2 linked regions of the Tribolium castaneum genome follow. The protein of the gene in region 2 purifies or fractionates together with the protein of the main gene of each other region. This does not show direct contact. Links are inferred from orthologs where the notes say so. Each region holds a gene or a part of one and is shown on either strand. Other genes may lie near its edges.

Evidence for each region.
Region 1: the proteins of Pgm1 (region 2) and glyoxylate reductase/hydroxypyruvate reductase fractionate together in Homo sapiens (co-fractionation; 3 studies listed by BioGRID). This does not show direct contact. The link is inferred for Tribolium castaneum from reciprocal best matches to the Homo sapiens genes PGM1 and GRHPR.

Annotation. Positions count from the first base shown.
Region 1 is NC_087399.1:691,256-694,743, reverse strand, and holds glyoxylate reductase/hydroxypyruvate reductase, read right to left. Parts: upstream 1,951-3,488; 5' UTR 1,865-1,950; coding exon 1,647-1,864; intron 1,595-1,646; coding exon 697-1,594; 3' UTR 667-696; downstream 1-666. Other genes in the region: Nmdmc (bifunctional methylenetetrahydrofolate dehydrogenase/cyclohydrolase, mitochondrial), read right to left, coding at 2,829-3,488. UniProt on the Homo sapiens protein: Enzyme with hydroxy-pyruvate reductase, glyoxylate reductase and D-glycerate dehydrogenase enzymatic activities. Reduces hydroxypyruvate to D-glycerate, glyoxylate to glycolate, oxidizes D-glycerate to hydroxypyruvate.
Region 2 is NC_087401.1:12,928,418-12,932,973, forward strand, and holds the start of Pgm1 (phosphoglucomutase), read left to right. Parts: upstream 1-1,738; 5' UTR 1,739-1,892; intron 1,893-1,900; exon of another isoform or gene 1,901-1,947; 5' UTR 1,948-1,957; coding exon 1,958-2,200; intron 2,201-2,251; coding exon 2,252-2,690; intron 2,691-4,556. UniProt on the Homo sapiens protein: Catalyzes the reversible isomerization of alpha-D-glucose 1-phosphate to alpha-D-glucose 6-phosphate. The mechanism proceeds via the intermediate compound alpha-D-glucose 1,6-bisphosphate.

The sequences.
Region 1 (3,488 bases), on a different chromosome or scaffold from region 2:
TCACATATGACAAAATTGCATCCAACGCTTAGTTTCCGAGATATTTAAAGAATTAACTTCAAATTAAAATTTTCGCGCCTGCGTTTATTTTTATTTTTTTGAGCTCGTTTTTCAGTAGCAATGTAATTTTTTAAGTTTGTCGATTTTTTTTTGAAAAAAATAGATAATTTAAAGAGCTTTCCAACGATAATACACTTCATGGGGTTATCTCTAATAGTTCCGGAGCTATTGCTCGAGAAATGTTCCGGGTACCCGAAATCGACCAAAACCGCGACAAAATTGGAGAAATCAAAGTCTTAAAAGTTGAACCTATTGACTTTTTTCTACTTCTAACAACTTCAGAGGGTTGTACACGCAAATATTTTTTTCTGATACGCAAAATAACGCACTTTTTTTATCGTTTTTGATAAATATACTAATTTTCTGTTTGATAACATTTGGCCATGGAAAAACTATTACACTTAAAAGGTGTAACTAATCTAAAAGTTTAAAAAATAAACGATATGTAAGTTATTTTCAGTTGAGCAAATATACGATCATCGCATATCAAAAAGTCCAAAAATAGAGAAATTCTAGAATCACCCAGCAATACTTTTAAATTTACCATCATTTAGAACGGTTTATTAACATGAATTGGTGTAAAATTAGAAACAAAAACACGGCGAAATCATTAGAAATTCTTTATTTTTTCCCCTTTTACAGAATCAGCTCGGCAGGCATTTTGCCACCTCTTAAAGCCTCTAAAATATTATTAGCTGTAAGAACAGCCATCTGATTCCTTGTCTCAATACACGCACTGCCAATGTGCGGCAAGATGACACAATTTTTCAGCCCAAAAAGCGGATCATCGAGGGGCAAGGGCTCAGGAGTCATCACATCCAACCCAGCGCCCCAAATCTCCCCACTCTGAAGCGCCCTAACCAAGGCATCCTGATCCACAACAGCCCCTCGACTCGTATTAACAAAAACGGCGCTTTTTTTCATTTTTTTAAACGCCCCCTCGTTGAACATCCCCTTCGTTTCGGGGGTCAACGCACAACAAACGACCACAAAATCGCTTTGTGTGAGCAACTCATCTAGAGTGACTTTCCGGGCCCCGATTTCCTCGGCCTCTTTTTTAGCCGATCGGCTGTGGTAAAGAATCTGACGCGTGTTGAAGGGCTTTAGCCGCTTGGCCACCTCTTGGCCAATTCGGCCGAAGCCCACAATGCCCACAGTGGCGCCCCCGAGGCCTGGGCCGCACATCCAGAAGGGGGCCCAGGCCTTCCAGCCCCCAGTCCGCGCCTCGGCGTTGGCCTCAAGGAGGCGCCGACTGGTGGCTAGGAGCAAAGCCACGGTGAGTTCGGCCGTAGCGTCGGTGAGAATATCGGGGGTGTACCCGATTTTGATTTGGCGCTTTTTTATTTCGGGGATTTCCAGGTGGTCGTAACCCACCGACATGGTCGAGATTACTTTGAGTTTGTCGGCTTTTTCAAGCACCTCTTTGTCGATCTTGTCGGTGAGCATGCAGAAAAGGGCGTCCTTTCCGGGGATGTTTTTTAGGAGTTCGGAGCGCGGGACTGGATCCGGTCCTGGCCATGATGTTATATCACAGCTGTCATAATTGTTTTTTAGGTTAGGTTTTTTTCATTTTTTTGGGTACTCACGTCGCTGATAGTAATTTGAGGGCTTCTTCGTTGATTTTGCGTGTTATGTAGACCGAAGGTCGGGTCATTTTTGGGCAATTTGTGTGAATTTTGGTTTTTTGCACTAGCAATGTCCGACTGGACTTTGGAAGAAATCGTTGGGGAGTGAAAGTAATTGTTGCAGAAAGTCGGGTCAAAGAAAAGCCAAATTGGACAGTCATTTTTGTGGTAAAAAGCATTTAATTGTGAAGTTAATTTTTTAATTATTGGCTGGTTGGCATTTTGCAATGTCGCCGGCTTGGAAAAGTAAAATTCACCAAAGTCCAGCTGCAGTGTCGCCAACTGTGTCACTTGCATATTTTCAAACGAGCTTAGTAAAAAAAAATTTGCACTAAACACTAACAACACAAATATCACCAATAATCCTTAAATTCGACGATTTTTGGAATAATTTTAACGGAAAATGCTTCAAAAAATATTCTAAGCACAGTTCAGGCATTTTAATAATTTTCTTATTTCTAAAAAAGTTCTATATGGGGTTTAGACAGATATTACTTTGTTTACATCAAGTGATTTTTATTTATGATTCCAAAATAATTTAAAAAAAATATCTAATTAAATAAAGACACAAAAAGTGCTTCCATTTTGCAGAAATTCTGATCCTTGAAAAGATGGAATTTGACGATTTTACCAGTTAATTTTTTTATTTTTTTTTGTTATTAGAATTATTTATATATTTATTTATTTTTATTTATATTATTTATATATATTTTATATAAATAAATATATTTATATATTTATTTATATTTATTATTTGGATTTATTATTTGGATCAATGGTGTTTGTTATGTTTATAAGTGTAACGACATTTAAAAAGTGGACAGAAAACGTGATTTTGTTAATTTAATTCACAAATAAAATTATATGAATTTGCGTATATAATAATTAATAACAGTAAATATGAATAATGACGACAAAAAGAATGTTCTGCTATCATGGGATTTGGAATTAAAGGCGGAATTTTTTTCCACATGTTACACTTCACATCGAAGGAAAAAGCCCCACTTTATAGTTTATAAAAAGGTAATAGGCCGATAACGGCGAAACTGGGATAAAAAGGTTGGTAACCAAAACAAAGCATCAGATTTAAATTTTTATTAAAAAATAAATAATTTGACAATACTGTCCAAACAAATATAATACTTATGAACTTTTCGCAAGATCCATGGCAGCTTTAAAGGTGTTGTGCATGAGCATGGCGACAGTCATGGGGCCAACGCCCCCCGGGACCGGTGTAATATGCCCCGCAATTTTGCTCACCCCTTCAAAATCAACATCTCCAACAATTTTACTCTTGCCTTCCGGGGTCGTAATCCTCGTAATGCCCACATCAATAACACAAGCCCCTGGCTTAATCATACTCGGTTTAATGAGCCCCACAACCCCCGTAGCACTTATAATAATATCGGCCCTTTTTGCGAAAAACTCCAATTCTTCTGGAGGCGTATTCCTGTGGCAGAGCACCACGGTGGCCTCCCCTCCCGAGAGTTCATTCCGCGCGTCCGAATGCAACAGCATCGCCATAGGCAGCCCCACGTTCTTCGAGCGCCCGCAAATAAGCACATTTTTTCCGAAGGTCTTGATATTCGAGCGCTTGATCAGCTCGATGACTCCCAAGGCCGTGGCTGGGACGAAGGTGTCCATGTTGAGGGTGAGCTTCCCCACGTTGAGGATGTGGAAGCCGTCCACGTCCTTGCGGGGGTCCACGGCGTTGCAGACCTTGCGCTCGTCGATGCCTTCCGGCACCGGCAGTTGCACCAGGATGCCGTCCACCTGGGGGTCCTCGTTGAGCTGGTGCACCTT
Region 2 (4,556 bases):
TGAATTCAATGGAACAAACCGCATTGCTCTACGACTTTTAGTTTTTGAGTTATGAATTTTTTTGTTGAATAAAATTTTCCACTATAGAAATTGCTTATCTTAATTTTTAGCAAAAAATTTTAAAATGTCAGATCTTGTTGAAAGTTGGTATAATACAGAAAATGAGCCGCTGAATTCAATAGAACAAACCGCATTGCTCTAAGACTTTTAATTTTTAAGTTATGAACTTTTTTGTTGAATAAAATTTTTCACTATAGAAATTGCCTATTTTAATTTTTAGCAAAAAATTTTAAAATGTCGTATTTCGTTGAAAGTTGGTATAATACAGAAAATGAGCCGCTGAATCCAATGGAACAAACCGCATTGCTCTACGACTTTTAGTTTTTGAGTTATGAATTTTTTTGTTGAATAAAATTTTCCTCTATAGAAATTGCCTATCTTAATTTTTAGCAAAAAAAATTAAAATGTCAGATCTCGTTGAAAGTTGGTATAATACAGAAAATGAGCCGCTGAATTCAATCGAACAAACCGCATTGCTCTACGACTTTTAGTTTTTAAGTTATGAATTTTTTTGTTGAATAAAATTTTTCTCTATGGAAATTGCCTATCTTAATTTTTAGCAAAAAATTAAAAAATGTCAGATCTCGTTAAAAGTTGGTATAATACAGAAAATGACCCGCTGAATTCAATGGAACAAACCGCATTGCTCTAGGACTTTTAGTTTTTGAGTTATGAATTTTTTTGTTAAATAAAATTTTTCATTATAGAAATTGTCTATCTTAATTCTTAGCAAAAAATCTTAAAATGTCAGATCTCGTTGAAAGTTGGTATAATACAGAAAATGAGCCGCTGAATCCAATGGAACAAACCGCATTGCTCTACGACTTTTAGTTTTCGAGTTATAAATTTTTTTGTTGACTCTTTGACGGATTAAATTTTCGATTTGTGTTTTTTATTTAAATCACTCTGTATATTATTTTATCAACGAACAGTTGGTTTTACATAAAGTAAGCAAACTGTACGTCCTTGCATTTATTCAGATATTTCATTCGGAAGTCTGATAAATATTCACACTTGTCTCATATCCGGAACAGTTCTCATTTTATTTAAATTGAAAAAAAAAATCAAACAAACGTCTCACATTAAACTATTACGAAAAGGAACATTTTTTTATATAAGTTATTAAAAATTTCGTAATAAAAATTATCTTGTACAAGTTTTGATCAATTACATTGTTATCTTTGTTAGCTTTAGTCTAGTGTCTGGAATGTTACAATTTGTTTGTTATCTTATCAGGAAGTTAAACGATGTACAAAAGTTATAATTTGTCGCTTTTATCACAATGGCAATTAATAAATTCGTAGCTATTAAGTTGCAAAACTACGTTACGCCACTGGATACCAAAAACAAATAAATCAAAACAATTTTTACCTTTTTATCCAAGTCATGAAACAGCAATTTGCATTATAATAATAAATGTAATTTAACTGTTGTTGCGGAGAACAAAGCTACAATTTGTCACGTTTCATTAGAATTCATGAAAAAATTTAAATTGTCACAATAACTATAAACAACCAAAGGGTTGTCAGCCCTGACCTGCCCATTTGTTTACATAACCCCAGGTTACTAAACCTCACAAAATAAAAAACACACGTCAAAACATGCAATTTATTAAACAACACGACCTTGTACAGATTTTTCACCAAACCTTAAAAAACCGGTCAAAGTCAAGTGACAAGGCCACCGTTCAAACCCCGCGCCATTGCACTGTGGCCGCGCACGCGCAGCTCACTTGACCGCATTGACATTGAGCGTTCAAATTTCAAGAAAACGCAAAGATTAGAGAGCGATTAGGACGTTAAAAGCCGATTACGAGAGTTGTGTTTCAAAAGGTGTGCGTTTGTGTACGTCGGTCGTTGATTAGCGTCCCTAACCTCACATTTCCAGCCGACCGAAAATGAGCCTCTCTTCGACCGTGGTGGCCACAGCCCCCTTCGAGGGCCAGAAGCCGGGCACGAGCGGCCTCCGGAAGAAAGTCAAAGTTTTCATGGAGAAAAACTACACGGAGAATTTCGTGCAGTGCATTTTGGACGCTTTGGGGCCCAAGCTCAAGGGGGCGACGTTGGTGGTGGGCGGCGACGGCCGGTATTTCTCCAAACAGGCGATCAATATTATCATTCGGATTGCGGCAGCTAATCAGGTTGCTTTGTTCACTAGTTTAGTGATTTTTTTATTCAATTTTTTTGGACAGGTGGCTAGACTGATAATTGGGGAACGGGGGATTTTGTCAACCCCGGCGGTTTCGACGCTCATTCGCACGCATAAAGTCTTGGGCGGGATTGTCTTAACTGCCTCACATAATCCGGGCGGAATTAGGCACGATTTTGGTATTAAATTTAATATAGAAAATGGGGGCCCTGCCCCGGATTCGTTCACGAACGCTGTGTACGAATTGACGAAGAAAATCACGGAGTATAAGTTCACCCCCGACTTGGATTGCGAATTTGATAAAAAGGGGGTGCAGAAGTTTACCGTTGATGGGAGGGAGTTTGTGGTGGAAGTTGTGGATTCGTCCGATGATTATGTGGCGTTAATGAAGGAGATTTTCGATTTTGGGAAATTGAAAGATTTGATTCGGGGGAATGGGAAAAGGCCGCCGTTCCAGGTTTTGATTGATTCAATGAATGGGGGTGAGTTAGGCAACCAATTATACACTTGATTAATAATACGGAAATTGGTGCACAATTAATTATTATTCACTTGATTATCGATTAAAATAACAGGATGGGTTCGTGTTTGCTGATTGTATCCTTGAACCGGATAATTCCGGTTTAATTGAATGCTTTCCGTAATAAAGTTCAAAAAATTATCGCATACATGTGATAAAGTCGTGTCTTTTTGGACTGTTTTATGTTTTTAGTGCCTTACTTAATTTAACTGCGTTGTTGTTGTCACAGTTAAATGTGTTTTTTTATGGAAATAAATTAATGATAACCACAAAGTTAAAAATACATAAATTAATGACACGATTTTTCGTTTGAACTAGGCGTCTAAATGTGTTGCTAGTAATAAGAAAACTACATTTAAAATAAATAATAAAGTTTATTAAAAAATTAGTTCGGTTTTTAAGATTAAAAATCAATGACGTGTTTCGTTATCAAAGTTGAACTACATTTTTGTGCGATAGATTATGAACCTTGTATAGTTATTGCCAACGTATATTTTGTACATTATCTCATTCTTTTTGCCCAAAAATTTTGAGGAAGCAAATAATAAAAGTGAAAAAAATTAATAAAAATTGTGGTATTTTACCAAAAAATCTAAAAATCATATTAGCCTTGATTATCAAATACAAAAAATATACAGGGTGTTTAACATAACTTCACAAAGCCTCCGCCTATGTAAAAGTCACAAAACACTAGATACAAAAAATTACATTTAATTATTTAATTTTTGGAAACCCGTGACAGTGGTTATCAACTTAATCACAGTCTCATTAATTTTTACCAAAAATTGTTATGTGTTCTATTAAAAGATAAAATAAATTTGATTCTAATCTATTTTATTACTAACTACCAAAAAAGCAGTATTTTTTTGAAGGGGTGAACAAACTAGAGAAAACTACTTAATTTTTCAAAATTTTTGGTCGAGTTTGTATGGGAATATGTATTCTTGGTTGCATTTTACAGGCGGAAAATTATGTGAAACACCTTGTACTCCTTCTGTTCGAAAATATGGAATTTATTTTTGTTGGAATTTAAGGTTCACGTTTTTAATTATTTTAATAAAATAATTGTTAATTATTTAAGTATCTTTAGTAGTAACAAAGATAATTACGAATAAAATTAATAAAATGGAACTTTTATCTCGAACCTTTTCACAATTTCTTGCGATAATTTTTTTACGTATTTTTGTCACTAAACAATGTTTAAGAATGTACTACAATGACATAAGGAAATAATAAAAAATAAAATAAAAATATATAAAAAAATTATAAATAATATTTTTACTATATGTAATATGTAATTACTTTTGTTAATGTAAAATGTGTATTTTTTGCATACTTATTTTTAAAACATACTATTAACTTACCATTTGCATTTAAATCTTGAGTTTCTTTTTTTTTTAATTATTTTTTATAATAGGAAGTCTCGATACTTCAAAGTTTTTGCTGCCAACTATATTTTTTATACTTCTCATAGAAAAATTAAGTCAAAACATTTAATAAACTTACAAAAGTGCTTTATTAAGCCAGTCATCAAGTCTTTTAAGTTTATTTCTGTATCAGTCTGTACTTCAATTTTTACTTTTTCTTTCTTATTTTTCCCAAATAAATATAAAAACACGTAGTAGGACTAGGAATTTTTTTGTTGGGTTGTATTAAAAACACAATAAATAAATTACAATTTATTTAATACTTGCAAAATTACAAAACGACGACAAAAAAACAGAATAAGAGATAATACTATCTAAAACAAAATTATACTAATGATCCCAATATGACATTAGTTTAATTCTGAATTAAATCTTAATTGTGCTTTCTGTAAACCGGCCCT